Macaca fascicularis: one gene and its partner. Each later gene encodes a partner of the first gene's protein in a complex. Links are inferred from orthologs where the notes say so. Each region holds a gene or a part of one and is shown in the gene's direction. Other genes may lie near its edges. The genes, in order: EIF3I and EIF3L.

Region 1 (15,477 bases):
CAGCTGGTGGGGAGGCTAAGGCAGGAGAATCACTTGAACCCAGGAGGCGGAGGTTGCAGTGAGCCGAGACTGTACCATTGCACTCCAGCTTGGGCAACAAGAGCAAAATACCCTCTCAAAATAAAAAATAAAAAAAAGCCACATACACACAAAAAAAGACCAATGGATAAATCAGCTGAGTTATCCATAGTAACAAGACTCAACTGCAGACCAGATGCTCACACTGGCTCCTCAGCACATTCTTTCCCAGCACTCCCAGGGCTCGCCTGTGTGAGGGAGAGGAGCAAACTGTCCTGCTCCTCATCCCCTGAGAGGCCCCAGCATGGAGGCATTACCCATCTAAGAAATTGATATAACAACCCCACTTACAAAGAGCTGCTTTCTTTGTTGTTTTTTTCTTTTTGTTGTTGTTTTGAGACAGGTCTCTCTCTGTTGCTCAGGCTGGAGTGCAGTGGTGAGGTCACTGATCACTGCAGCCTCAACCTCCTGAGCTCAAGCGATCCTCCCACCTCAGCCTCCTGAGCAGCTAGGACTACAGGCATGCACCACTAAGCCCAGCTAATTTTTGTATTTTTTTTTGTTGCTGTTGTTCCTAGGCTGGTCTCCTAGGCTCAGGTTATCTGCCCACTTCAGCCTCCAAAATTGCTGGAATTACAGGCCTGAGCCACTGTGCCCTGCCCAGAACTGCCTTCTTAAGTTTATATACCTTACAAGGAGTGTCATGGCTGCTGAGGTCTGGTTTGCAACAGTAGATGGGAGAAGGATGTAGCATGGTGCAGTGGGAAAGTGAGGGCATTGGAGTGAGGCAGATCTGAGTTTCCCTTGTAATCTTGGTTAGGATATTCAAACACTCAACCTGTTTCCCCATATGTAAAACAGGGATCACAGTATACCATTTCTTTTGTTGGACTGTTGTTAAGATGAGCTGTGATAATGCATGGATCGTCCCTGGCTGAAGTGGACGCTTCATAAATAGTGATTACTGTTCTGGTTATTAGAAAGGATGGATATTAAAGGATATAGGCAGAGAGGGTAATGAGATAAAAAGAATCTAATACTGTGATTAAAACTTGGTGAATGGCTAGCTGTAGTCAGCTGGTCAAGGGTTCAGCATTCTTCCACAGCAGTGAATGCATGAGGCCAGAGGCTTTCAAACTCATAAATAAGTGCATATTATTTATTTATTTATTTATTTTTGAGAGAGAGTCTCGCTCTGTTGCCCAGGGACTGGAGTGCAGTGGCGTGATCTCCGCTTACTGCAACCTCCGCCTCCTGGGTCCAAGTCATTCTTGTGCCTCAGCCTCCCAAGTAGCTGGGACTACAGGCACGCACCACCACACCTGGCTAATTTTGTTATTTTTAGTAGAGATGGGGTTTCAGCATGTTGGCCAGGCTGGTCTCAAACTCCCGACCTCAAGTGATCTGCCCTCCTTGGCCTCCCAAAGGGCTGGGATTACAGGCGTGAGACACCATGCCCAGTCGAGCATAAACTTTAATATATGGCTTCAAATCCTTCTGCACTGACATACTGTGGGACTTAAGAGAGGTGAAATTGCCCAAAGTTTTGCAACTTCATTTTCTAAGATAATCATGTCTGCTTTACAGAATCATGATTGGAATTAAATAATGTGTAAGACTAGTGCAGTATCTGACGTAGTAGAGGGCAGTCAACAAATGTCAAGAGAAAGGAAATTTATGTATATGGGGCTCTAATTGTGTGCCAGGCACTGTCCTACATGTTTCTCATTCATTAAATTTAATCCTCACAATGCTATGAAGCCAGCTGTATAAAACCAAGGCTCAAATGAGGGACTTGCTCATGGTCAGGCAGGTAGCACACAGTGGAAGCAAGAATGTGAAAGCCAGCACTTGGCACAGCAAAATGAACCTTCCTTCTTCCTCCGCTGGTCACACAAGACTGCCAGGCTTCAAACCAACACCAGTGCCTAGCAACATACTCATAACCAGCCCACTGTGTCCCTCTTGTTCAGAGAAGAGGGTACTAAGAGGGAACTAGAGCTAGTCAGCCCTCTCTCACTGATGGGAATGAGGTGTTTCAAGCTCCACCCCCTCAAATCACTCTTCCAGGTGGCCTCAAACACTAAGCAGAACAGTTCCAAGCCAGGACCCACCTGTCGATGCCAAGGTGAGGTAATAGAGAAGGGAGCCACACTGGTTGAGGAGAAAGGGCATCAGGTACTGGAAAGAGGAGAAACCTGCAGTCAGTGTGATGGCCTGACTGAGCAGCACTGCCTTCTTTGAGCTCCTAGCGAATGCCTTTCCTTGGAGGGAGGGAGGGTTATAAAGACCCAGAGAACACTAATCCCTCTAAGGAGAACCCTTCCAGGGCAAAGAGGGAAACAGACTGAACTCTGTGCCTTTGCTCAAACTACCCTCTCCCTCAACTCTGCTAATTCCCATCCTGCAAGGCCTTGATGCCAATGTCAGCTCCTCCAGGAATCCTTCCCCAAGTCCTCCAGCTCCAGCCTTCCTTCTCTGAACTCCTCCCCTGCAGGGCCAATTTGAGCCCTAAGTCCTCCCTCTGGAAAGGCTCACAAATGTTGCCTTATTTAACTGAAGGAATCACAATAATAAAATGTGAATAATGGCAGCCATAGATTGAGCACTTACTATGTTCTAGGCCCAAAGCTAAATGCTCTACGTATCTCACCTAATTCCCACAACTGCCCTATCAGATGGTTGTTATTATTATAATCGCCATTTACAGATGATGAAACTGAGGCTTAAGGAGGACAACTGACTCTTCGGAGAATTTCTGGTGAGTGGGGGTGGGGCTGACCCAGACCTGTTTGACTCCAAAGACCAAATTATTGGTGGCAACTCCCCCGAGAGAGGGGCCTTTCACAGACGCACCTCAGTATTCAAGAAGAGGGTCTTCATCTCCTGTAGCAACTGCCGGGCCCAGGTCGGCTCATGAACCCGCTGCAGGCCGGCGGAGGCCCGCTTCAGCAGCGGCTGCGTGCCACCCCACAGAGCGGCCACCAGCACCAGAGCCAGCACCTGCCCTGAATACAGACGAGTGCGTCACCCTGACCCCCACCCCAAACGGCCGCCCACCCCGCCCTCTCCTGGCCTCCTAGCCCCAGCTAGCCGCCCCGACTTCCCTCCTTCGCTGTCTTCGCCTCGGCTGCGACTGGCGGCTAAGGCAGGCCCAGCGAGGCTGGGGAGATGAATCCAGGAGTCCAGCCTCTGGGGTTGTAGCAGGGGTCGGGATTAGGGGGTGCAGGTGGAGCAGGAAATGAATTCGAGGCGAGGGTCGGGAAATCCATGGAGGGGCGGGGTCGGCTACCTACCCAGAGACGCCGCCATGGCAACGCCGCTGTCTTCTACTTCCGGGAACGAGGGGGCGGAGACCCATAATCCGGAAGTGGACCCAAAGCGTTTTCCGGTCCTACTCACGTTGCGGCCTTCCTCGCGTCACCGCCGGGATGGTGAGTTTCAGAGTTATGGGTATTGCAGTGGGCGTCCTGGGCTGAGGCCGGGGCCCAATTCCGAGCACTGACGTTACCATCTTGTCCCCACAGAAGCCGATCCTACTGCAGGGCCATGAGCGGTCCATTACGCAGATTAAGTATAACCGCGAAGGAGACCTCCTCTTTACTGTGGCCAAGGACCCTGTGAGCGTCGGCTGGAGGGCGGGCGGGACCATGCGGAGGGGGTCCGGGAGGCGAGAGATCCTTCTGCCAGGACGATGGGTGGACATGCCAGTTTTGCCGTTAGCGGGGAACCAAAGAACGGCCCATTCTGAGAAGTAGGGAGAGGCCATCCCGGGGGTAGGTTGGCGAAAGTATTCTACTGGGAAAGGTAGGGAAGAACTCGATTGGCCGACTGCGGTGGCTCACGCCTGTAATCCCAGCACTTTGAGAGGCCGAGGTGGGAGGACCGCTTGAGTCCAGGAGTTGGAGACCAGCTTGAGCAACATAGTAAGACCCATCTCTACACACAAAAAATTAGCCTGATGTGGTGGCTCGCGCCTGTGGCCTCAGCTGCTTCGGAGTCTGAAACGAGAGGATCGCTGGAGCCCGGTGAGCTGAGATCGTGCCACTGTACTCCAAGAAAAGCAAGAGACAGTTGCCGGGCGGGGTGACTCAAGCCTGTAATCCCAGCACTTTGGGAAGGTGAGGCGTGCAGATCACGAGGTCAGGAGATCGAGACCATCCTGGCTAACACGGTGAAACCCCGTCTCTACTAGAAGTACAAAAAATTAGTCGAGCGTGGTGGCGGGTGCCAGTAGTCCCAGCTACACGGGAGGCTGAGGCAGGAGAATGGCGTGAACCCGGGAGGCGGAGGCTGCAGTGAGCCGAGATGGCGCCACTGCTCTCCAGCCTGGACAACAGAGCGAGACTCTGTCTCAAAAAAAAAAAAGAAAAGAAAAGCAAGAGACCACTGTGGAAAGGGGATAAGGATGAGGGTCAGCTTGCCCAGAGAATGGGATGCGGCCTTTAGGGATAATCTAATTTTTCTACCAGGATAGTGCAGGCTGTGTTATTCAGACACAGGGGACTTAATGAGGCTGTCTCTAGTCTCATTTTAAGTCAATCCCATTCTGCTACTCAATGCAAAACAGTCCCTCATGATACTGCCTTTTTAAAATTTTATTTTATTTTTTGGGGTACGGAGTCTCGCTCTGTCACACAGGCTGGAGTGCAGTGGTGCAATCGCGGCTCACTGCAGCCTCCGCCTCCCAGGTTCAAGCGATTCTCCTGCCTCAGCCTCCTGAGTAGCTGGGACTACAGGCTCGTGCCACCACGCCCGGCTAACTTTTTGTATTTTTAGTAGAGACAGGGTTTCACCATGTTGGCCAGGCTGGTCTTGAACTCCTGACCTGAGGTGATCCGCCTGCCTCAGCCTCCCAAAGTGCTAGGATTACAGGCGTGAGCTACCACACCCAGCCTGGCCATTTTCAAGATGAGAAAACTGAACTTCAAAGGAGAGAAGCACTGTATTTGAGATCATACAGTGAGACAGTGGCAGAGCAGGCACTGGAACCCAGACTTCCCTACTATCAGCTGCTCCCACTTGGATAAGACATCAGAGATACTGTTTTTCTGGACTGGAGCTCAACTTGGCCTTTTATTCTTTGGAGCCACTGGGAGTCCCAGGAGAGCTGGAGCTAACAAATGAGGATGCTTTTACAAGCCGCCTGACTCCTCTGTTGCTTACCTTCAGAAAGGGAGGAGAATCCAGGAGTTGGTCTTTTTATCAGCTCCCTGCTGTTTCCCAAGAAATGAAGAGAAGAGGGCAGAATCAGCCTGGCTACAGGCTGCTGAGGGTTCCTGGGGTAAAGTAGGAAGCATCGCTCTTACTATCCTGTGGTTTGACTTTTCCAGATCGTCAATGTATGGTACTCTGTGAATGGTGAGAGGCTGGGCACCTACATGGGCCATACCGGAGCTGTGTGGTGTGTGGACGCTGACTGTATCCTTGTTTTGGCTCTGAGTCCATGCTGCTAGGGTCTGTCAGCAATGGAGAGGCTAGGTTGGAAGTTGGGAGTTGGGGGTGTTGTTGAGGGCCTAGAGAACAATACCTCCTATTCCCTGGTCTCTTCACTGGCTGGGGAAACATTTAGGACAAGTTCCAGTTCTGGATAAGGAGGTAAGAGGGGAAGAAAGGCTCTTTGGGGCTGAACAGGGAGATGACTCACTTGGCCTCCCCCAGAGGACAAGGGCTCAGGTGAACTTCGTCATGTTTCTTAACAACTCTTCAGGGGACACCAAGCATGTCCTCACTGGCTCAGCTGACAACAGCTGTCGTCTCTGGGACTGTGAAACAGGTAAGCTAGGTTCATTCACTTTTTTAGCAACAGGTCCTAGGAAAATAGAGATGAAATCCATAGATAGTTTCCAGTCTAGGGAATAAGAGACAAGAAAGACAGATGAGAAAAGAAGTCTTACAGTAAGATACACACCATGGTAGAGGAAGCGTAGATTACTATGGGAGGCCAGAGCCCAGCAACTGGCTCCCTAGAGTGGGGATGGGAGCAGCCTGGGAAGGTTTCCCAAGGTAAATGTCATATGAGCTGGAGCTTAAAGGATGAGGAAAGACGTCATCACTTTGGCACATGCAGGAGTGAAAGCGTGGAGACTGTTGTGTCCAAGTCATCTGATCTGGCTGCAATTCCTGCTTCTTGGTGGGGTGGGGGTAGGGGGGTGAAATACACAGTCATGGAAAAGATGAAGCTGGAGAGTCAGGCTAAGGCCAGAACAGGTCTTGAATGCCAAACTCAGGAGCTTGGCTTTGTTCCATAGAATATGGGGTGCTGTGGAGGTCCCTGAGCAGGCAAGAGTGGGGGTCTGTTCAGTTTAGCAAGGTCAGGGAGCAGGGGGGAGGCACTGGAAGAGCTAAGACTGAAGACAGGGGAGCCTATTAAGTTTTCTTTTTTTTTTTTTTCTTTTTCTTGTTTTTGAGACAGAGTCTCGCTGTCGCCCAGGCTGGAGAGCAATGGCATGATCTTGGCTCACTGCAACCTCTGCCTCCCGGGTTCAAGGGATTCTCCTGTCTCAGCCAGCCCGAGTAGCTGGGATTATAGACGCACACTACCATGCTTGGCTAATTTTTTTTTTGAGACGGATTCTCTCGCTCTGTCACCCAGGCTGGAGTGCAGTGGCACAATCTTGGCTCACTGCAACCTCTGCCTCCTGAGTTCAAGTGATTCTCCTGTCTCAGCCTCCCGAATAGCTGGGATTATAGACATGCGCCATCACACCTGACTAATTTTTGTATTTTTAGTAGAGACAGGGTTTACTGTGTTGGCCAGGCTGGTCTCAAACTCCAGACCTCAGGTGATCCACCCACCTCAGCCTCCCAAAGTGATGGGATTACAGGCGTGAGCCACTGCGCCTGGCCGGTGGCTAATTTTGTATTTTTAGTAGAGATGGGGTTTCACCATGTTGGCCAGGCTGGTCTCAAACTCCTCACCTCAAGTGATCCACTTCAGCCTCCCAAAGTGCTGGGATTACAGGCATAAGCCACTGTGCCCAGCCTAAGTTGTTCTGTTTAGTGCCAGGTCTATGCTGGGCACTGGGGACATGCAGGGAAATCAGATCAGGTCTTTGCTGTGGAGGATTGCAGTCTGAGTGGGGAGATAGATATATTGCAGTCTGCGTATGAGCAGTACCACATTAGCAGGATGTCTGAGGAAAGAGTCTGGATAAGAAGTTAAAATACTTGGCCAGGTGTGGTGGCTCACGCCTGTTAATCCCAGCACTTTAGGAGGTCGAGGGGGTGGATCACCTGAGGTCAGGAGTTCAAGACCAGCCTGGCCAACAAGGCGAAACCCCGTCTACTAAAAATACAAAAATGAGCCAGGCATGGTGGCGGGTGCTTGTAATCCCAACTACTTGGGAGGCTGAGGCAGGAGAATCGCTTGAAAGGTTGCAGTGAGCCGAGATCACACCATTGTACTCCAGCCTGTGGGACGAGAGCAAAACTCTATCTCAAAAAAAAAAAAAAAGGGCCTGGCGCAGTGGCTCACACCTGTAATTCTAGCACTTTGGGACGTCAGGGTGGGCGGATCATGAGGTCAGGAGATCGAGACTATCCTGGCTAACATGGTAAAACCCCGTCTCTACTAAAAATACAAAAAATGAGCGGGGCATGGTGGTGGGCGCCTATAGTCCCAGCTACTTGGGAGACTGAGGCAGGAGAATGGCTTGAACCGGGAGGTGGAGCTTGCAGTGAGCGGAGATCGTGCCAGTGCACTCCAGCCTGGGAAACAGAGCGAGACTCTGTCTTAAAAAAGAAAAAAAAAAGAAAAAATACTTTCTAAGTTTGGGTTACTGGAGCAAGAGAAACAGTGAGATGCGATGGTAGCATTCTCTAGAATGTCCTCCCTGCAATTGCAATGGATGGTGTAGCCCAGACTCTTGCCTGTTTCCAGGGAAGCAGCTGGCCCTTCTCAAGACCAATTCGGCTGTCCGGACCTGTGGTTTTGACTTTGGGGGCAACATCATCATGTTCTCCACAGACAAGCAGATGGGCTACCAGTGCTTTGTGAGCTTCTTTGACCTGCGGGATCCGAGCCAGATTGGTGAGGGCTGGGATTAGGGCTGGGGTTGAGGTAAAGGGTGCAGCTCTAGAGCCCAGGGCCTAACATCTACTGCTCCACACAGACAACAATGAGCCCTACATGAAGATCCCTTGCAACGACTCTAAAATCACCAGTGCCGTTTGGGGACCCCTGGGGGAGTGCATCATCGCTGGCCATGAGAGTGGAGAGCTCAACCAGTATAGTGCCAAGGTAAGAGGCCACATGGGGCCTGAGCCTACCAGAATGATTCTTTTTTTTTTTTTAAGGTAGAGTTTCTCTCTGTCGCCCAAGCTGGAGTGCAGTGGTGCCATCTCGGCTCACTGCAACCTCCACCTCCCGGGTTCAAGCAATTCTCCTGCCTCAGCCTCCCGAGTAGCTGGGATTACAGGCACACGCCACCATGCCTGGCTAATTTTTTTTGTATTTTTAGTAGAGATGGGGTTTCACCATGTTGGCCAGACTGGTCACGAACTCCTGACCTCAGGCAGTCCGCCCACCTTCGCCTCCCAAAGTGCTGGGATTACAGGCATGAGCCACCACACCTGTATTTTTTTTTTCTTTGAGACAGAGTCTCACCCTGTTGACCAGGCTGGAGTACAGTGATACGATCTTGGCTCACTGCAACCTCTGCCTCCTGGATTCAAGCCATTCTCTTGCCTCAGCCTCTCAAGTAGCTGGGAATATAGGCACCCACCACCATGCCTGGGTAATTTTTGTATTTTTAGTAGAGATGGGGTTTCACCATGGTGGCCAGGCTGGTCTCAAACCCCTGACCTCCTGACCTCAGATGATCCACCTGCCTCAGGCACTGGTGATAGCACAGTAGTTCAGAGCAAGGGCGGAGCTGTATGCTGTGGCTCACATCTGTAATCCCAGTGCCTTTGGGGGCCAAGACAGGAGGATCTCTTGAGCCCAGGGGTTGGGGCTATAGTGAGCTGTGATCATACCACTACACTCCAGCCTGGGTGACAGTGAGACCCAGCACTTAGGGAGGTTGACCCGCCTCAACCTCTCAAAGTGCTGGGATTTTCTAATAAATTAAGAAAAAATTAATAAAAATTTTTAAAAAGAGCAGAGGTGAGATTGAAATGTAGATTTCACTACTTTTTAGCTGTGTGATCTTGGGCAAGTTACATAACTTCTCTGACCCTGTTTATCTGTAAAATGTTTCAAGGATCAAATGATATCACATGTTTGAAAAACTTGTCACAAAGTACTCAGGACATGTTAATAAGGATCACAGGCCGGGTGCGGTGACTCACACCTGGAATCCCAACACTTTGGGAGACTGGAGCAGGAGGATTGCTTGAGCCCCAGGGATTGAGATCAGCTTGGGCAATACAGGAAAACCCTATCTCTAAAAAAAAAAAAATTAAAAATTAGCTGGGTGTGGTGGAGCGTGCCTCTGGTCCCAGGTACTCAAGATGTTGAGGCTGAAAGATTGCTTGAGTCTGGGAGATTGAGGCTGCAGTGAGCCATGACTGTGCCACTGTACTCCAGCCTGGGTGATAGAACAAGACCCTGTCTCAAAAAAAAAAAAAAAATTAAGGATCACAAATGAGCAGTTCCCTGCCACCAGAGTATAATGCCCTGTGCTGAGTTCCTAGAACAAAGAAGTAAATCAGACACAGTCCCTTCCCCCTTGGAAGGGACTTGCAAACAGCTAGCACCTGAGTCAGATTGTGAACTGTGCCACCGTAGAAGTCTCAACCAGGTGTGGAAGGTGCACTGTCCCAGGGAGGTGGTGTGTACATTAAACCCTGGAGAATAAATGGAGCTTCAAGCAGGAAGGAAAGAACATCCCACAGGCAAAAGGAACAGCAAAAGCAAAGGCACAGAGTTAAGAAAGTATGGAGTCTTCAGGAACCATTGGGATGCAGTCTTGGGGACAGAGGACAGGGAATAGATTTTAAACGTCCTTAAGTGTGAGGAGATAAAGAGTTTTGATTTTCCTCCAGGCAGTAGGGAATCTTGAAAGGGTTATCTATGGCCAGATTTTCCTTCCAACAGCGCTTGCAGGTTATGTTTGGAGAATGGACCTGAACTAGCCATCAGGCATAGGATGTACATTACTGGACAGAGTCAAGGGATATTTAGGGGTGACTGATTAGATAGAGGGGGTGAGGAAAACACAAAGTCCATGCTATCTCAGCTTTCTCATTTGGGTGCTTAGGTTTCTGGGGAACTGAGATTAGTAGGGATTGGGCCCAGTCAGTCTCATTCTTCCTCCTTCCCCAGTCTGGAGAGGTGTTGGTGAATGTTAAGGAGCACTCCCGGCAGATCAATGACATCCAGTTATCCAGGGACATGACCATGTTTGTGACCGCATCCAAGGACAACACAGCCAAGGTGAGCCTGGGCAGGGGTCTGGCAGGGCTGCTGCCTCCCTCCTGCTGCACAGCTCACCCTGCCCGACTTCCCCCAGGAAGGCTCTTTCTACAGATATCCCCCTTGCCTTCTCTCTCCAGCTTTTTGACTCCACAACTCTTGAACATCAGAAGACTTTCCGGACAGAACGTCCCGTCAACTCAGCTGCTCTCTCCCCCAACTATGACCATGTAAGAGAACCCCATCCAGCCTTCCTGCTAAAGCCTCAGGAAGCTTCCAAGTTCTAGATGCTTGTCCAGAAGTTGGGCTACAACATTGTGGGGGAAATGATGTCAGGCAGAGAGGAGATTCCCAGAGGAGTGACAAAGCTGGAAGGATGAATAGCCCCAGGGAAGCGGGCAGGAGGTGGCAGAAGTGTCTGATCATCCCCTACCTTTGGTATCCTCCCATTGAGCTGTGTGAGATGTGAAAAATGTATATGGCAGGAGAAAAACAGAAAATAGACTTGGTGTCCATCGGGCCCATCTAGAGTTTCTTCTTCCATTCAGGTGGTCCTGGGCGGTGGTCAGGAAGCCATGGATGTAACCACAACCTCCACCAGGATTGGCAAGTTTGAGGCCAGGTAAAGAGGAAGAGAGCTCTTCCAAATTGAAATCTCATGGGGTGCACCTTTTTTTTTTTTTTCCCCGAGACGGAGTCTTGCTCTGTCACCCAGACTGGAGTGCAATGGTGTGATCTCTGCCTCCTAGGTTCAGGCGATTCTCCTGCCTCTGCCTCCCGGGTAGCTGGGATTACAGGCACCCACCAACACACCTGGCTAATTTTTGTATTTTTAGAAGAGACAGGGTTTCACCATGTTGGCCAGGCTGGTCTTGAATGAACTCCTGGCCTTAAGTAATCTGCCCACCTTGGCCTCCCAAAGTGTTGGGATTACAGGCATGAGCCACTGTGCCCGGCCTTCATTATATTTCTCTATGCCCATATTTCCTCTATTGTATAATGAGACAGTGACAATATACTTACCATAAAATTATGCAGATTAAATTATTCAGTTAATATTTATTAAGCTCTTTAAGCACTGCCCAGCACGTAGTAGGCACTCTATAAGTATTAGCTATGAATTTAGGCAGACTTCTGGGTCCGGTCTTCCTCTTATAATAAAAAAGTTAAAAAATAAAGATACAGGGTCTCACTATGTTGCCCAGGCTGGCCTCGAACTCCTGGGCGCAAGTGATCCTCTGCCCTCAGCCTCCCAAAGTACTGGGATTACAGGCGTGAACCACAGCCCCCAACTTCATCTTATTTTGTTCACATTCACTTATTATCTCAATTTTTCTGCTTTATTATTATTTTTTGAGACAGGGTCTCACTCTGTTGCCTAGGCTGGAGTGCAGTGGCACCATTTCTGCTCACTGCAACCTCCTGGGCTCAAGCAATCCTCCCGCTAAGCCTCTGAGTAGCTCAGATTACAGGTGCACACCACCGTGCCTGGCTGCTTTTTGTATTTTTAGTAGAGATGTTGGCAAGGCTGGTCTCAAACTCCTGGCCTCAAGCGATCTGCCTTTCTTGGCCTCCCAATGTGCTGGGATTACAGGCATGAGCCGCCACGCCTGGCCTCAAATGCAAATTATATCACAAAAAATAAAGCAGAAGCCGAGTTGGTGACCAGCCTGGCCAACACGGTGAAACCCCATCTCTACTAAAATACAAAAATTAGCCAGGCGTCTATCATCCCAGCCACTCGGGAGGCTGAGGCAGGAGAATTGCTTGAACCCAGGAGGTGGAGGTTCCAGTGAACCGAGATTGCGCCACTGTATTCCACCCTGGGTGACAGAGTAAGACTCCATCTCAAAATAAATAAATGGGGCCGGGTGCGGTGGCTCACGCCTGTAATCCCAGCACTTTGGGAGACTGAGACGGGCAGATCAGGAGAACAGGAGATCAAGACCATCCTGGCTAACACAGTGAAACCCCATCTCTACTAAAAATACAAAAAAGTTAGCCGGGCATGGTGGCAGGCACCTGTATCCCAGCTACTTAGGAGGCTGAGGTAGCAGAATGGCGTGAACCTGGGAGGCAGAGCTTGCGGTGAGCTGAGATCGCACCACTGCACTTCAGCCTGGGCGACAGAGCGAGACTCCGTCTCAAAATAAATAAATAAATAAATATAACAATTTGCATTTGGGGAGCGCCACCTTCAAAATGTTTTGGAAGGAAATGGAAAGTGAATTAATTGTGTCCCTTTTCCTCCAGGTTCTTCCATTTGGCCTTTGAAGAAGAGTTTGGAAGAGTCAAGGGTCACTTTGGACCTATCAACAGTGTTGCTTTCCATCCTGATGGCAAGAGGTAGGGTCCCAGTGAAGCAGCTGAGCTAAGCCCGGGTTGGGTCTCTGCCTCTCCTAGAGTAGGCACCTGACTGGTGCCTGGCTATCTTTTTCCAGCTACAGCAGCGGCGGTGAAGATGGTTACGTCCGTATCCATTACTTCGACCCACAGTACTTCGAATTCGAGTTTGAGGCTTGAGAAGCTGGATCTCCGGCCGGGCGCGGTGGTTCATGCCTGTAATCTCACCACTTTGGGAGGTCAAGGTGGGCGGATCACCTGAGGTCAGGAGTTTGGGACCAGCCTGACCAACATGAAGAAACCCCGTCTCTACTAAAAATATAAAAATTAGCAGGGCGTGGTGGCACGCACCTATAGTCCCAGCTACTCAGGAGGCTGAGGCAGGAGAATCACTTGAACCCAGGAGGCGGAGGTTGCAGTGAGCTGAGATCGTGTCATTGCACTCCAGCCTGGGCAACAAGAGCGAAACTCCGTCTCAAAAAAATAATAATAATAATAAGCTGGATCTCTATCCGGGCCAGAGAAGATTCTCACAGAAGGTTTTGAACTCTAAGAAATAAATTGGTTTGGTAATAAATGGCTTCTGGTCAGATATTTTGTGGGGTCTGTTTTATCATCTTTCCTTTTCACTGACACCCCAGCAAGGGGATGCCGATCATGGAGACTTTTATTATTTAGACCTCCCTATACTTTGGACACCTCAAACTTAAGACCGTCCGTACTTTTGGCCAGCCTGGGTTGCAGGCATCCTCTTCCAAGGTGTAAAGGTCCTAAGGGGCCTGCAGAGGTTTCAGGAATGTCTCGGTTGCTGTCCAAGGAGCCAGTGCTTAGGGTGGGGGCTGAAGTAGTTGGCTGAGAGGCTTCTGTCTTCTCCCTTCCTGTCACTGTTTGCCACGCTCTTCCCCCATGCGGCTTCTGCAGGCTTAGGTGAGTGGGTCCAGCGAAGAAACAGGCCCGAGGAGGAGGAACACAGGTCAGGACGCTGAGCGGAGGGATAATCCCCCGTGGAGAAGGTGTGGGGCTCACCTTGCCCAGCCGCAGGCTCTGGGGCTCCACAGATGGCCAAGGGATTGAGGATGTAGAGTGGGTTCCGGAGTCTTTGTTGCTCTTTTGGCTGGCTGAGCCAAGACCACAGGGAGTGCGTCCGAGCCCTCACTTCACACGGGCATCTGCAGAAAGGCAGGGAGTAAGTTTCCAGCCCCAGGTATGCCCTCTGGGAGTCTGGGTGGGCAGCCCTGGTTAGTAGGGTGACAGCCACTTTGGAGCAGTGATAACCTCTCCTTTTCTCCTTTTTCTTGCAAACATTGCCAGTCAGATCTTGTACTGGGCACTAGAATAAAAGGAACAAGACAAAGTCCTACTTCTTAAGGAGTTCTATTTAAAGGGAGAAACCAATTTAGTTTTGCCTCAGTGTCAGAGAAGGCTAATTAAGAATGTGATGTTTGGCCGGGCGCGGTGGCTCAAGCCTGTAATCCCAGCACTTTGGGAGGCCGAGGCGGGCGGATCACAAGGTCAGGAGATCGAGACCACAGTGAAACCCCGTCTCTACTAAAAATACAAAAAATTAGCTGGGCGCGGTGGCGGGCGCCTGTAGTCCCAGCTACTCAGGAGGCTGAGGCAGGAGAATGGCGGGAACCCGGGAGGCGGAGCTTGCAGTGAGCCGAGATCGCGCCACTGCACTCCAGCCTGGGCAACAGCGTGAGACTCCGTCTCAAAAAAAAAAAAAAAAAAAAAAAAAAAAGAATGTGATGTTTGAGCTGAGTCTCAACAGACCTAGCATACCCGCTGTGCAAAGCAACAGCCAACACTTGGGGAGAATGGCAGGAGCCAAAGAAAGAAGGAGGGAAAGGCCCACTGTGAATATTGATAGGCCTGGACCCAGGAGCTTTTGAAAGAAAACTGATAACAATGAAGATGCAGAGAAGAGTGAGGCAGCTGCTGGAGAATCCAGATGGGAGAGACCAGTGTGGATGAAGACCGGGGGAGGGCCTTCTGGCAAGGGAGGACCAAACTCAGACAATTTTAGGAGAAAGACTAAAGATGAAGGATGGGGGAGAGGGAAGTAAATAGAGATGATCCAAGACTAGTAGGGTTAGTGAAGCAGGATGGGGTATGGAGGAAGACTGAGCAACAAAATATAATTAAATCTGATCTTCACCCTGGAAAGGAGTGAACCCTCCCTCCCCGCATCTCAGTCTCATAAGACAGCTGGCATCTGGGGCTGATTGGGAGCGTATGCAACAAGAGACCAACCAAATAATAAAAATACCACTTCTTTTATTTATTTGTTTATTTATTTAATGGAGTCCCACTCTGTTGCCTAGGCTGGAACGCAGTGGCATGATCTCGGCTCACTGCAACCTCTGCTTCCCAGGTGCAAGCAATTCTGCCTCAGCTTCCTGAGTAGCTGGGATTACAGGCATGTGCCACCACGCTCGGGTAATTTTTTTTTTTTTTTTTTGAGACGGAGTCTTGCTCCGTCACCCAGGCTGGAGTGCAGTGGCGCGATCTTGGCTCACTGCAACCTCTGACTCCAAGGTTCAAGTGTTTCTCCTACCTCAGCCTCCTGAGTAGCTGGGACTTCAGGCAGGTGCCAACATGCCTGGCTAATTTTTTGTATTTTTAGTAGAGACAGGGTTTCACCATGTTAGCCAGGGTGGTCTTGATCTCTTGACCTCGTGATCCACCCGCCTCAGCCTCCCAAAGTGCGGGGATCACAGGTGTGAGCCACTGTGCCCAGCCTAATTTTTTGTATT
Region 2 (15,477 bases), on another chromosome or scaffold:
CTGCAACCTCCGCCTCCCAGGTTCAAGCAATTCTCCTGCCTCAGCCTCCTGAGTAGCTGGGATTACAGGCACGTGCCACCATGCCTGGCTATTTTTGTTGTTGTGTTTTGTGGTGGTTTTTTTTTTTTTTTTTTTTTTTGAGACAGAGGTTTGCTCTTGTTGCCTAGGCTGCAGTACAATGGTACGATCTCGGCTCACCACAACCTCCACCTCTGAGGTTCAAGCGATTCACCTGCCTCAGCCTCCCGAGTAGCTGGGATTACAGGCATGTATCACCACACCTGGCTAATTTTGTATTTTTAGTATAGACGGGATTTCTCCATGTTGGTCAGGCTGGGGTCGAACCCTGGACCTCAGGTAATCCACCTGCATCAGCCTCCCAAAGTGCTGGGATTACAGGCGTGAGCCCCCGCACCCAGCCTATTTTTGTATTTTTAGTAGAGATGGGGTTTCACCAAGTTGGCCAAGCTGGTCTCAAACTCTTGATCTCGTGATCCGTCCACCTCAGCTTCTCAAAGTGCTGGGGTTATAGGCGTGAGCCACTGTGCTTGGCATATTCTTTGTTTTTGTATTATAAGATTAGCAATTTTTTGTCCCACACTCTAGAATAAGATAATTTTTTGTGTTTTGAGACAGAGTTTTACTCTGTCACCCACACTGGAATGCAGTGGCACAACCTCACCTCATTGCACCCTCTGCCTCCTGGGCTCAGGCAATGCCCCCACCTCAGCCTCCTTATTAGTGGAGACTACAGGCGCCTGCCACCATTCCTGGCTAATTCATTTGTATTTTTTATAGCTTTGGGGTTTTGCCATGTTTCCCAGGCTGGTCTTGAGCTCCTGTACTCAAGTGATCTGCCTACCTCAGCTTCCCAAAGTGCTAGGATTACAGGGGTGAGCCACTGATCCTTGCTGGAATAGTTGAAGAACAGTCTTAGAGCTTCTAAGACCTAGGTTTTAGGTCTGTGATTTCCAAACCTGATGCACACCAGATTCAACCAGAGAACTTAAAAAAATTGAGTAGGCAGGTCTGTTGTGTTCCATCTATGTGACTGATGGAGCCAGGCCAGCAGTGCTTCCAGGTTCTACTTCTGTCCCAAATGGATTCCTGTGGCCTGTCTTCTCTGTGTTCCTTGTTCTTGGCCAGATGACTCTGGTTGAGAGTGGTAGAGAGGACATAGTCTGGGAACTGATGGTCAGTTCCCAGATAGGGAACTGGTAGGGAAGGCTCACACGTGCAGATACCTACTACCACATCACCGCTCATAACCCAGGCCGTGCCATGGTCTAGCTGCATCTGAATAGATGGTACAAGAGCCCCTGGGGTGTTTCTGGTGACCAGCTCAACTGCACTGTGAGGCCCAGAGATAGGAAGTGACTTTAGGTTGTGTTTGACTCCAGATTGGATGTTTTTACCACAGACTACCTCTAATCCTAGAGATTTTTACTTCACTGTGTAGTAACATTCAGTAATGAACAACATTCACAGCTTAGTCAAAGATGGCTTTGAAAAACAGTGTACAGAATGGTTTAGAATGAGAAGTGGATGTCTCAATCACCTCGCCCCGTCCAGAGCCAGAGCATTGCCTCGTTTTCAGCATTGTGCACATGGACGATCACTTTGGGCTTATACCACTACAGCATATTTCGTTTATTCCTCAACAGTTTCAGTCATTCAGTCAGTACCGCTGTAAGACTGCCAAGAAGTCAGAGGAGGAGATTGACTTTCTTCGTTCCAATCCCAAAATCTGGAATGTTCACAGTGTCCTCAATGTCCTTCATTCCCTGGTAGACAAATCCAACATCAACCGACAGTTGGAGGTATACACAAGCGGAGGTGAGTGCAGCAGGCCAACAGCTGCGGCCTGCGAATTTCCAGCTGCTTGCCGTCTGTTCTAAATGAATAGAATCTTGCAAGTAAAGCAGATGAGTCACCATGTCTTAGATGGTGGTCTGTTGACTCTTTGTAGGTGCTCGAGTACAAACAGTAGCAGAGTATTCATGCTGGGGGCTCTGGGGCTTGGGAGTCCGTTGGCCAACACACTGAACCAGCATGTTGAGATTTACGTTTATAAACACTTCTACTGTGTCTCCAGTGCTTTTGTTCAGATAAGCACTTCTCACGCGTGTTGGTGTCAGAGCCACTTTACCCTGTTAAAATATTGAGAACCACAAAATGTATCTATACTTTAAAAATTTTTTTTTTTTTTTTTTTTAAGTGAAGAGTGGCATTTTTGCCGGTCTCTCTGTCTGGCTTCATACAAGTTAGCTGGCTTCTCATTTCTCCTTCTGCATGCAATCTGTTGCAGTGTAATCTTTTGTTTGATTAGAAAGAAAATCTGACCCAGGCACTGTGGCTCACACCTGTAATCCCAGCACTTTGGGAGGCTTAGGCAGAAAGATCGCTTGAGCCCAGGAGCTTGAGATCAGCCTGGGCAATATAGTGAGACTTTGTCTCAAAAAAAGTGTTTAAATTGGCCGAGCATGGTGGGCGGGGTGCCCCTGGAGGCCCAGCTACTTGGGAGACTGAGGTCGGGGGATTGCTTGAGCCCAGGAAGCAAAGGTTGCAGTGAACTGAGATCACACCACTGTACTCTAGCCTGGGCGACAGAGCGAGAGGTTATCTGGAAAAAAAAAAAGAAAGAAAGAAAGAAAATCTGGCTTAATGCAGATATAGAAAGGAAGGAGTTTTTTGTTGACAGGGTCTCGCTGTGTCACCCAGTCTGGTCTTGGACTTCTTGGCTCAAGCAATCCTGCCTTGGCCTCCCAAAAGTGCCAGGCTTATTGGAGAGGATTTTCTTTGATACTACACCATGTAGTAGTATGTATAGGTTGAATATTCCTGATTTGAAAATTTGAAGTCTGAAATGCTCCGAAATCTGACTTTTTTTTTTTTTTTTTTTTTTGAGACGGAGTCTCGCTGTGTCTCCCAGGCTGGAGTGCAGTGGCGTGATCTCGGCTCACTGCAAGCTCCGCCTCCCGGGTTCATGCCATTCTCCCGCCTCAGCCTCCCAAGTAGCTGAGACTACAGGCGCCCGCCACCACGCCCGGCTAGTTTTTTGTATTTTTAGTAGAGACGGGGTTTCACCATGTTAGCCAGGATAGTCTCGATCTCCTGACCTCGTGATCCACCCGCCTCGGCCTCCCAAAGTGCTGGGATTACAGGCTTGAGCCACCGCGCCCGGCCCGAAATCTGACTTTTTGAGCACGCACATGATGCCGTAACTGGAAAATTCTACCCCCAAGCCCATGTGACCAGTTGCAGTCAGAACTTTATTTCACGCACAAAAGTTATTTAAAAGATTATAATAAAATTACTTTCAGGCTGTGTGTATAAGACATATATGAAAAATAATTGAATTTTATGTTCAGATTTGAATCCTATCCTTAAGATACCTCATTAGGGCCAGGTGCCATGACTCACGCCTATAATCCTAGCACTTTGGGAGGCCGAGGCGGGCAGATCACCTGAGGTCAGGAGTTCAAGACCATCCCGGCCGACATGGTGAAACCTCATCTCTACTAAAAATACAAAAAATTAGCCAGGCTTGGTGCTGGGCACCTATAATCCCATCTACTTGGGAAGCTGAGACAGGAGAATCATTTGAACCAGGGAGGCAGAGGTTGCAGTGAGCCGAGATGGCACCACTGCACTCCAGCTTGGGCAACAGAGTGAGACTCCGTCTCAAAAAAAAAAAAAAGATATATCATTAGATGTATGCGGATATTAAAAGTTGCAAAATCCAGAACACTTCTGGTCACAAGCATTTATAGAAGTATACTCACCCTGTACTTTGAAATAACCATTGGTAGTTTCATACAGATTAGGTGCAGTGAGGAATCTGAAACTGTATTAGTGAATTTTTCTTTTGTTATATTAACGTTATTGGTCACTCTTGTAATTTGAATGAGTTCCTTACATCCATGTGTGACTTTTTTTTCCTGAAACAGAATCTACTCTGTTACTCAGGCAGAGTGCAGTGTCATGATCTCAACTCACTGCAACCTCTGCCTCCGGGTTCAAGCAATTCTCCTGTTTCAGCCTCCCAGGATATAGAAAGGAAGGATTATAGGCACGCACCACCACACCCAGCTGATTTTTGTATTTTCAGTAGAACAGAGTTTGACCATGTTGGCCAGGCTGCTCTTGAACCCCCGGGCTCAAGTGATCTGCCTGCTTCGGCCTCCCAAAGTGCTGGGGTTACAGGCGTGAGTCACTGTGCCTGGCCATGTGTGATTTTTAAAAAAAAATTGGTTCACTGAGTTATAAAGATCTTCCAAATGTTAACACATTTTATTACATTTTTTTGAAAAAGTCACATTTGTTACTTTTGCCACTGATATCAGGTAAGCATTTATTCGTCAGCTACAGAGCTTGTAGTGGCAGATACAAGTTTTACAAAATTCCATTTTTGCTTAATAGCTTGAATTTTTATTTATTTTGAGATGGGGTCTCACTCTGTCACCCAGGCTGAAGTGCGGTGGCAAAATCATGGCTCACTGCATCCTCGACCTCCTGGGCTCAAGTGATCCTCCTACCTCAACCTCCTGAGTAGCTAAGACCACAGATGTGCACCTATTCCTGGCTGTTTTTTTGGTTTTTTTTTTAATAGAAACATGGTCTCACGGCCAGGCGCGGTGGCTCACGCCTGTAATCCCAGCTCTCAGGGAGGCAGAGGCGGGAGGATAGCTTGAGTCCAGGAGTTCGAGACCTGCCTGGGTAATATAGCGAGACCCCGTTCTCCACAAAAAGGAAAAAAAAAAAAAAAGACGAAACATGGTCTCACTTTGTTGCCCAGGCCGATCTTGAACTCATGGGATTTCACGTGTGAGCCACTGTGCCCAACTTTTGAATTGTTGTATTGGTAGCAAACACTGTCAGTTCTTTTCTTTGAGGTGTGACAGGTTTACTTCATTTTTGTGAAAATGTGTGCCCTTCCCCCCCCCCCGCCTTTTTTTTTTTTTTTTTTTTTTGAGACGGAGTCTCGCTCTGTCGCCCAGGCTGGAGTGCAGTGGCCGGATCTCAGCTCACTGCAAGCTCCGCCTCCCGGGTTCACGCCATTCTCCTGCCTCAGCCTCCCAAGTAGCTGGGACTACAGGCGCCCGCCACCTCGCCCGGCTAGTTTTTTGTATTTTTTAGTAGAGACGGGGTTTCACCGTGTTAGCCAGGATAGTCTCAATCTCCTGACCTCGTGATCCACCCGTCTCGGCCTCCCAAAGTGCTGGGATTACAGGCTTGAGCCACCGCGCCCGGCCTTTTTTTTTTTTTTTTTTTGAGGCAGAGTCTTGCTCTGTAGCCCAGGCTTGAGTGCAGTGGCACAATCTCTGCCTACTGCAACCTCCGCGTCCCGGGTTCAAGCAATTCTCCTGCCTCAGCCTCCCCAATAGCTGGGACTACAGGTGCACACCATCACACCCGGCTAATTTTTGTATTTTTAGTAGAGACGGGGTTCACCATGTTGGGCAGGCTGGGCTTAAACTCCTGACCTCAAGTGATAACGCCCACCTCGGCCTCCCAAAGTGCTGGGATTACAGGCATGAGCTGCGCTCAGCTGTGTATCAGTTGTTCTTTCAAGTAAAAATGATACTCCATGAAAAAAGGATTTTCTTTCTTTTTTTTGTCTTTTTTTAAGAACAGAGTCTCTCTGTTACCCAGGCCAAAATGCAGTAGCACTTCCATAGATCTGTGTCTCAAAACAAACAAATAACAACAACAAAAACTGATACAAACTCTGGTTATTCAGATATGGTACCTGGGCTCAAGCAAATCCTCCCACCTCAGCCTCCCAAGTAGCTGGGATTACAGGTCCAAGCCACCATGCCTGGCTAAGGACTAGTTCTTTTAGTGCAAATAAATGCATGGCAAGGAACAATACAGTGACTATCAGTACAATTTTGTGTCGCTACCTGATTTATGCTTAAGTTAACAGTAATTTTACCCAACATAGCGTTTGCATCATGTAAAATTCAACTTAGTGGGAAGGGCAAGTAGCATCTTAGTGTTGTTATTAGGAAAATAGCTTTGACCTCATGTGCGTTCTGAAAGGAGGAGTGTTCATGGATGTATTTTACTGATGAGAGGGGCCTTTTCATGTGTTGGGACCAAAAAAAAATAAGCAGACTGAACTGCCACCCTGTAAGCAAATATTGGTAAATTTAAGATTAGCATAAGATTGGTTTTGCTGTTTCGTGGTATTCCTTTGAAGTTATTCCCAATTGAGGGAAGCTTTCAAGGCTGGCAGTAGGTGAGATGCCTACTGAGTAACAATCAGAGGTCAGGTATACATGCCTTTACCTGCCTCCTATCAGAGTATTCACGGTGTCTCTCTTTTTCAGGTGACCCCGAGAGTGTGGCTGGGGAGTATGGGCGGCACTCCCTCTACAAAATGCTTGGTTACTTCAGCCTGGTGGGGCTCCTCCGCCTGCACTCCCTGTTAGGAGATTACTACCAGGCTATCAAGGTGCTGGAGAACATCGAACTGAACAAGAAGGTGATGCCTGTTGCCTCTGGCCCTTCTTGCCAGAGCCAGAATATGTATTTCTAGAGAACCACTCTGATCTCTTAGGACAAATTTCCAGGAGAGGAAAGAGGACTCTTCCCTCAGGCCATTGAAAGTTGAGACTAAAACTGGGCAAACAGCTGTGGTAAAAAGCTGGACCTGGACGATTTTGATAGTTAATGACAGTTTTTTATTCTCTTTTCAAAATGGAGTGATCATGGCAGCTTGCTCTGTCGCCAGGCTGGAGTGCAGTGGCGCATCTCGACTCACTGCAACCTCCTTCTCCTGGGTTCAAGCAATTCCCCTGCCTCAGCCTCTTGAGTAGCTGGGACTACAGGCATGCGCCACCATGCCCAGCTAATTTTTTTATTTTATTTTATTTTAGTAGAGATGGGGTTTCACCGTGTTGGCCAGGATGGTCTCAATCTCCTGACCTCATGATCCACCCACCTTGACCTCCCGAAGTGCTGGGATTACAGGTGTGAGCCACTGCACCTGGCCCATGGCAGTTCTTTACTCTTCACGTTTTGCTAAAGGATTGAGAAGGCCAGTTGCAGTGGCTTACGCCTGTAATCCCAGCACTTTGGGACGCTGAGGCAAGTGGATCGCTCGAGGTCAGGAGTTCGAGGCCAGCCTGGCCAACATGGTGAAACCCTGTCTCTGCTAAAAATACAAAAAAAAAAAAAAAAAAAACCTAGCTGGGTGTGATGGTGGGCACTTGTAATCCCAGCTACTCAGGAGGCTGAGGTAGGAGAATCACTTGAACCTGGGAGGCAGAGGTTGCAGTGAGCCGAGATCACACCATAGCACTCCAGCCTGGGTGACAGAACAGGATTCCATCCCAGAAAAAAAAAAAAAGAAGTAAAGATGTAATTCTGAGATGGTATGTTCATTGATACATGGTTAGCTGTTGTGTTCTTCCTAACCACAGAAAAATATTACAGATTATTTGGTGTTTGGTTCATGTGTGTGTATGTGTTTCTGTCTTCCCTGTCCAAAAGGACTTAATTGAAAAAACAAGGAAAAATAACAAAACTGAGATGTATAGCATTTTGGAGCTGAAAGAGATTTTAGGAATTACCTGATCCAGAACCTTCTTGTTACAGCTAAGAAAATGGATTCCTCAAAACATACAACTTAATTGATGAATAGGAAGATGGGCTCTCAAACTCTGGAACTGCAGAGCTTCCTCTGGATAGTTCAGGGCTCTGCAGGGAAAACTCTTGGTGTTTCTACCTCTGGTTCTATCTAGGATGAATTGAGACTCATGGATGTATGTTCCACCTCCTTCTGCAGAGTATGTATTCCCGCGTGCCAGAGTGCCAGGTCACCACATACTATTATGTTGGGTTTGCATATTTGATGATGCGTCGCTACCAGGATGCCATCCGGGTCTTCGCCAACATCCTCCTCTACATCCAGAGGACCAAGAGCATGTTTCAGAGGACCACATATAAGTATGAGATGGTAAGGGGGACTCTGCCTGCCACCAATGACCTTTCTAATCAGAAGGCTCCTTGGCACCTATGCCAACCGTTCTTGGTAAACACCATCCAAAATATTGCAATTTTAAGCCAGGAGTTCACGGCTGTAGAGTGCTCTATGATGATTGTGCCTACTAGTAGATCACCCAGCTGGAGTGCAGTGACGCAGTCACAGCTCACGTCAGCCTCAACCTCCTGGGATCAGGCGATCATCCTATCTCAGCCTTCCCAATAGCTGGGTCTAAAAGTGCACACAACAGACACAACAGCGGCTCAGCGGCTAATTTTTTTTTTTTTTGAGACCAAGTCTCTGTCACCCAGGCTGGAGTGCAGTGGTGCGGTCTCAGCTCACTGCAACCTCTGCTTCCTGGGTTCAAGTGATTCTCCAGCCTTAGCCTCCTGAGTAGCTGGGACTACAGACATGTGCCATCGCATCCAGCTGATTTTTGTATTTTTAGTAGAGATGGGGTTTCACCATTTGGCCAGGCTGGTCTCGAACTCCTGACCTCAGGTGATCCATCCACCTTGGCCTCCCAAAGTGTTGGGATTATAGGCGTGAGCCACCACCCCCGGCCAAAATGATGTTTTAATGGCTAGCATACTCTAAGAGTTTCTGTTGTGATGCCTGTTATCTCAGATCATTAACATCTTGATGATAATATCTTTTGTTTCAATTATATCCTCCAGCAGTGCCTACATTTATTTATTCAGCATCAATATGAACATCAGGCCAGGCGCGGTGGCTCAAGCCTGTAATCCCAGCACTTTGGGAGGCCGAGACGGGCGGATCACGAGGTCAGGAGATCAAGACCATCCTGGCTAACACAGTGAAACCCTGTCTCTACTAAAAAATACAAAAAACTAGCCCGGCGAAGTGGCAGGCACCTGTAGTCGCAGCTGCTCGGTAGGCTGAGGCAGGAGAATGGCGTGAACCCGGGAGGCGGAGCTTGCAATGAGCTGAGATCCGGCCACTGCACTCCAGCCTGGGCGACAGAGCAAGACTCCGTCTCAAAAAAAAAAAGAAAAATACAAACATCAGAGTGTTCACTGGCTTCTGAGTGTTTTAATATGAGGTGTGGGCCGGGCGTGGTGGCTCACGCCTGTAATCCCAGCACTTTGGGAGGCCGAGACGGGTGGATCACGAGGTCAGGAGATCGAGACCATCCTGGCTAACACGGTGAAACCCCATCTCTACTAAAAAATACAAAAAACTAGCCGGGTGAGGTGGCGGGCGCCTGTAGTCCCAGCTACTCAGGAGGCTGAGGCAGGAGAATGGCGCGAACCCGGGAGGCGGAGCTTGCAGTGAGCCGAGATCCGGCCACTGCACTCCAGCCTGGGCGACAGAGCGAGCCTCCGTCTCAAAAAAAAAAAAATAAAAAAAATAAGGTGTGGATATTGATGGGAAGGAGGATGGGTTCAAAGCATACATAGAATTGGGAGGAGCTTCCTAGGCAGAGAATAGCATGAGCAAAGTGGTTGAGACTTGAAGGTGTGGTGATGCAGCAGCACAATAAACCGTTTTGGCTGGAGGGCAAATAGGCAGTAGGAATTGGGTTATTGGATTCTGAGAACCTTCATTAACCCAGGTAAAGTATAGTCCCGTGTCATTTGATGCTGCAGATACATTCTGAGAAATGCACCGTTTGGTGATTTTGTTGTGTGAACATCCTAGAGTGTACTTACACAAACCTAGATGGGATAACCTACTACATACCCAGGCTACATGGTATAGCCTATGGCTCCTTGGCTACAAACTTCTAGAACATATTACTGTACTGAATAACATAGGCAGTTGTAACACAAGGTATTTGTGTATCTGAACAGAAAAGATACAGTAAAAATACAGGATTATAATCTTGTAGGATCACCATCCTATATGTAGCCCATGACCCGTTGTTGACTGAAACGTTGTTGCACAGCACATGACTGTTTAGTCTATATTCTGTCGGCATCAAAGTCGCATCAAAGGTTTTGGGTAACTCGATCCTAACTGGTGTAAAAGGATTGACCTGCTAGTGATGTGTGGGACAAACTGGAGAGACTAAGGCAGAGGTGCCAGTAAGGAATCCAGGAAATGGCTAAGGAGGATCTGGACCTAGGATGGAAGTTAAGTAGATCTAGAGGGAGGATTGGAAGAGAGGTGGGGTAAATTCAGTGGCTGGTATGAGACAACTGGGTAAGTGAAAGATCTGTGCAGAGAATGGTGAGGCCAGTTGACTGACGGTGGGGACCTCAGGAAGTCCATCTTATTTGACCGGGTACAACTCTCCACCCCATTCCCAGATTAACAAGCAGAATGAGCAGATGCATGCGCTGCTGGCCATTGCCCTCACTATGTACCCCATGCGTATTGATGAGAGCATTCACCTCCAGCTGCGGGAGAAATATGGGGACAAGATGCTGCGCATGCAGAAAGGTGACCCACAAGTCTATGAAGAACTTTTCAGTTACTCCTGCCCCAAGTTCCTATCGCCTGTAGTGCCCAACTATGATAATGTGCACCCCAACTACCACAAAGAGCCCTTCCTGCAGCAGCTGAAGGTGTTTTCTGATGAAGTGCAGCAGCAGGCCCAGCTTTCCACCATCCGCAGCTTCCTCAAGCTCTACACCACCATGCCTGTGGCCAAGCTGGCTGGCTTCCTGGACCTCACAGAGCAGGAGTTCCGGATCCAGCTTCTTGTCTTCAAACACAAGATGAAGAATCTGGTGTGGACCAGCGGCATCTCAGCCCTGGATGGTGAATTTCAGTCAGCCTCAGAGGTTGACTTCTACATTGATAAGGTATGCTGTCCCCGGGCTTGGGGTCTTGTATTAAGTGTTCACTATCTTTCATTCACTATTGTGGGCACATGAAAGTATATCGGGGAACAAAATCAGAGATTCCTGCCCTTGTGGTACTGTCACAAGGTGCCAGGCGCGGTGGTTCACGCTGGTAATACTAGTACTTTAGGGGAGGCTGGGGTAGGAGGATCACTATAGCCCAGGAGTTCAAGACCAGCCTGGGCAATGTAGTGAGACCTTGTCTCTGTTTACAAAAAAAAACACGAGATAAACAATAGATGTTTTTTGGGTTTTTTTTGTTTTGTTTTGTTTTTGTTTTTGTTTTTGTTTTGAGACAGAATTTCGCTCTTGTTGCCCAGGCTGGAATGTGATGGCACGATCTTGGCTTACCACAACCTCCGCCTCCCAGGTTCAAGCGATTCTCCTTCCCCAGCCTCCTGAGTAGCTGGGATTAGAGGCATGTGCCACCATGCCCAACTAATTTTGTATTTTTGGTAGAAATGGAGTTTCTCCATGTTGGTCAGGCTGGTGTCAAACTCCTGACCTCAGGTGATCTGCCACCCTTGGCTACCCAAAGTGCTGGGATTACAGGCGTGAGCCACCATGCCCAGCTAACAATAGATGTTATAATTAAACTATGTAATAAGAGGTTGCCAAGCACTGCAAAGTAAAGGGAGGAAGAGGTGGTGGGAGGCACAGGTTGCAGTGTTAAATATGGTGTTCAGACAGGCTTTGTTGAGAAAGTGAAGTTTAAGCTAAGCTAAGACTTGAAGGGAGTGGTTTTTGGTTTGTTTATTTTTTGACAGTCTTAGTCTGTTGCCCAGGCTTGAGCGCAGTGATGTAGTCTCGGCTTACTGCAACCTCTGCCTCCCAGATTCAAGCAATTCTCCTGCCTCAACCTCCTGAGTAGCTGGGATTATAAGAGGCTGCCATCACACATGGCTAATTTTTATATTTTTAGTAGAGACAGGGTTTTGTCATGTTGGCCAGGCTAGTCTCAAACTCCTGACCTCAAGCAATCCACCCGGTGGAGGATTCTTACTAGCTCACCAAAGGCCGTACACGGTGTCTCTTGCCTGTAATCCCAGCACTTTGGGAGGCCGAGGTGGACGGATCATGAGGTCAAGAGATCAAGACCATCCTAGCCAACATGGTGAAACCCCATCTCTACTAAAAATAAATTAGCTGGGCATGGTGGTACATGCTTGTAGTCCCAGCTACCTGGGAGGCTGAGGCAGGAGAATCACTTGAACCGGGAGGCAGAGGTTGCAGTGAGCTGAGATCGCACCACTGCACTCTAGCCTGGCAACAGAGCAAGACTCTGTCTCAAGAAAAAAAAATGCTCCCCAGATACCTGGAGGAAGAGCCTTCCAGGCAAAGGAATAGTTAGAGCAAAGGCCCCGAAGAGGAGTGAGGCCAGTAAGTTTAAGGGACACCTGCGGTATGCCCGAGTGGCCTGAGAAAGGAGGCTATGTAGATGAGGTTGGAGAAAGGGGGATGGTGCTTTGTAGACTGTTGGAGTACTTTACAAGTGGGAAGCCATTGTCCTGCTGCCTTTTTAATTTTTTTATTTTTAGTTAGCAATAATCATACCTCACATAACCTTCATTGGCCATACTGCCACTGCACAAAGCTTTTTTTTTTTGAGACGGAGTCTCATTCTGTCGCCCAGGCTGGAGTGCAGTGGCACGATCTTGGCTCACTGCAACCTCCGCCTCCCGAGTTCATGCGATTCTCCTGCCTCAGCCTCCTGAGTAGCTGGGATTACAGACGCACACTACCGCACCCAGCTAATTTTTTGTGTATTGTTAATAGAGACAGGGTTTCACTATGTTGACCAGACTGATCTCGAACTCCTGACCTCGTGATCTGCCTGCCTTGGCCTCCCAAAGTGCTGGGATTACAGGCATGAGCCACCGTGTCTGGCCTTTTAAAAAAATTTTATTTATTTATTTGTTTTTGAGACGTCTCGCTCTGTCGCCCAGGCTGGAGTGCAGTGGTGCAATCTCAGCTCACTGTAACCTCCACCTCCCAGGTTCACGCTGTTCTCCTACCTCAGCCTCCTGAGTAACTGGGACTACAGGCACCCACCACCACGCCCGGGTAATTTTTTGCATTTTTTAGTAGAGACGGGGTTTCACCGTGTTAGCCAGGATGGTCTGAATCTCTTGACCTCGTTGATCCGCCCATCTCAGCCTACCAAATTGCTGAGATTACAGACGTGAGCCACTGCATCCGGCCTCTCTTTTATTTATTTATTTATTTATTTATTTATTTTTTTTTTTTTATTTTTATTTTTTTTTTTTTTTGAGACGGAGTCTGGCTCTGTCGCCCAGCCCAGGCTGGAGTGCAGTGGCGCGATCTCGGCTCACTGCAAGCTCCGCCTCCCGGGTTCACGCCATTCTCCTGCCTCAGCCTCCCGAGTAGCTGGGACTACAGGCGCCCACAACCGCGCCCGGCTAATTTTTTTTTTGTATTTTTAGTAGAGACGAGGTTTCACTGTGGTCTCGATCTCCTGACCTTGTGATCCGCCCGCCTCGGCCTCCCAAAGTGCTGGGATTACAGGCGTGAGCCACCGCGCCCGGCCCTATTTTTTTTTTTTTTTTTTGAGACGGAGTCTCGCTCTGCCGCCCAGGCTGGAGTGCAGTGGCCGGATCTCGGCTCACTGCAAGCTCCGGCTCCCAGGTTCACGCCATTCTCCTGCCTCAGCCTCTCGAGTAGCTGGGACTACAGGTGCCCGCCACCGCGCCCGGCTAGTTTCTTTTTTTTTTTTTAAGACAAGGTCTCGCTCTAGTTGCCCAGGCTGTAGTGCAGTGGTGCAATCTCAGCTCACTGCAGCCTCAACTTCCTGGGCTCAGGTGATTGTCCTACCTCATCCTCCCAAGTAGCTGGGATTACAGGCGCACATCACCACGACTGGCTAATTTTTTGTATTTTTAGTAGAGATGGGATTTCGCCATGTTGCCCAGTCTGGTCTCGAACTCTGATATGCACCATTGTTCCCAGCTGATTTTAAGTTTTTACTTTATAGAAACAGGGTCTCACTTTGTTGCCCAGGCTAGTTTCAAGTGATCCTCCTACCTTGGCCTCCCAAAACGCAGGGATTACAGGTGTGAGCCACTGCGCCTGTCCTGTCCTGATGTCTAACACCTTGGGTTAGTGCTGCCTGTTTGTGAACTTTATATAATGGAATTACATAGTATGTACTCTTTAAGTCTGGCTTCTTTTGCCCAACATTATAATTGAGTGAGTCACCGTCCATTGTGTGTAGCAGTGATTCCTTCGTGTTTGTTGTTCTGATAGTCCAGCATCTACTGTTGTTATTGTACTGCAGTTTATCCATTCTCCTGTTGATTAACATTTGGATGGTTTGTATATTACAAAAAATACAAGAAAGATTTTTACAGAGTGACTAGTAATACATTTGTGTATGCCTGTGTATGCATGAAGTTCTTTCCAGAAGGATAAACAAGCAACATAGCAGTAGCTTCCTCTCAGGAGGGGAGGCGGGTTGAAGAACGGTGTTAGTTTTAACTGGTACTTTTAAGTTCAAGCTGGACATTTTAATGTCTGATAAGATTTTCGTTTTTATTTATTTATTTAGATACACAAATTAACTGAGTGTAGTAGTGCATGCCTGTAATCCCAGCTACTTGGGAGGCTGAGGCACAAGAATTGCTTTAGCCTAGGAGGTGGAGGTTGCAGTGAGCCAAGACCACGCCACTGCACTCCAGCCTAGGTGACAGAGTGAGACCCTGTCTCCATAAATAAATTGAATGGGCTGGGCGCGGTGGCTCAAGCCTGTAATCCCAGCACTTTGGGAGGCCGAGACGGGCGGATCACGAGGTCAGGAGATCGAGACCATCCTGGCTAACACGGTGAAACCCTGTCTCTACTAAAAAATACAAAAAACTAGCCGGGCAAGGTGGCGGGTGCCTGTAGTCCCAGCTACTCGGGAGACTGAGGCAGGAGAATGACGTAAACCCGGGGGGCGGAGCTTGCAGTGAGCTGAGATCTGGCCACTGCACTCCAGCCTGGGCGACACAGCGAGACTCCGTCTCAAAAAAAATAAATAAATAAAAATAAATAAATAAATTGAATGGGCCAGGCGCGGTAGCTCACACCTGTAATCCCAGCACTTTGGGAGGCCGAGGCTGGTGGATCACGAGGTCAGGAGATCGAGACCATCCTGGTTAACACGGTGAAACCCCATCTCTACTAAAAATACAAAAAATGAGCTGGGTGTAGTGGCGGGCACCTGTAGTCCCAGCTACTCAGGAGGCTGAGGCAGGAGAATGGCATGAACCTAGGAGGCGGAGCATGTAGTGAGCCGAGATTGCGCCACTGCACTCCAGCCTGGGCGCCAGAGCGAGACTCAATCTCAAAAAAATAATAATAATAAATAAATTGAACGAATGAACGAATGAGCAATTCAGTGGTTATTAGTATGTTCACAGTGTTTTGCAACCATCTCCACTGTCTAATTCCAAAACATTTCTGTCCCCCCAAGAAGAAGCTCCCTACCCACTAGCAGTCACTTGCAGTTCCCCAGTTCCCCCTTTCTGCCATCCCCTGGCAAACCAGTAATCTGCTTTTGGTCTCTCTGCATTTGACATTTCAGATAAGTGGAATCATGTAATATATGGGCTTTTGTGTTTGGGTTCTTTCACTGAACATGTCTTCAAGTTTCATCCGTGTTATAGCATGTGTCAG

What was found.
Region 2: EIF3I (region 1) and EIF3L share a complex: the UniProt entries of both Homo sapiens proteins name them as parts of the eukaryotic translation initiation factor 3 (eIF-3) complex. The link is inferred for Macaca fascicularis from reciprocal best matches to the Homo sapiens genes EIF3I and EIF3L.

Annotation. Positions count from the first base shown.
Region 1 is NC_088375.1:202,795,602-202,811,078, reverse strand, and holds EIF3I (eukaryotic translation initiation factor 3 subunit I), read left to right. Parts: upstream 1-3,401; 5' UTR 3,402-3,449; coding exon 3,450-3,452; intron 3,453-3,545; coding exon 3,546-3,638; intron 3,639-5,351; coding exon 5,352-5,439; intron 5,440-5,728; coding exon 5,729-5,794; intron 5,795-7,900; coding exon 7,901-8,050; intron 8,051-8,132; coding exon 8,133-8,260; intron 8,261-10,288; coding exon 10,289-10,399; intron 10,400-10,518; coding exon 10,519-10,608; intron 10,609-10,926; coding exon 10,927-11,000; intron 11,001-12,631; coding exon 12,632-12,724; intron 12,725-12,819; coding exon 12,820-12,901; 3' UTR 12,902-13,311; downstream 13,312-15,477. Other genes in the region: TMEM234 (transmembrane protein 234), read right to left, coding at 2,133-2,199, 2,875-3,026, 3,315-3,330; uncharacterized protein, read right to left, coding at 13,512-14,051. UniProt on the Homo sapiens protein: Component of the eukaryotic translation initiation factor 3 (eIF-3) complex, which is required for several steps in the initiation of protein synthesis.
Region 2 is NC_088384.1:13,737,607-13,753,083, reverse strand, and holds part of EIF3L (eukaryotic translation initiation factor 3 subunit L), read left to right. Parts: intron 1-1,664; coding exon 1,665-1,836; intron 1,837-6,335; coding exon 6,336-6,490; intron 6,491-7,795; coding exon 7,796-7,966; intron 7,967-10,266; coding exon 10,267-10,764; intron 10,765-15,477. UniProt on the Homo sapiens protein: Component of the eukaryotic translation initiation factor 3 (eIF-3) complex, which is required for several steps in the initiation of protein synthesis.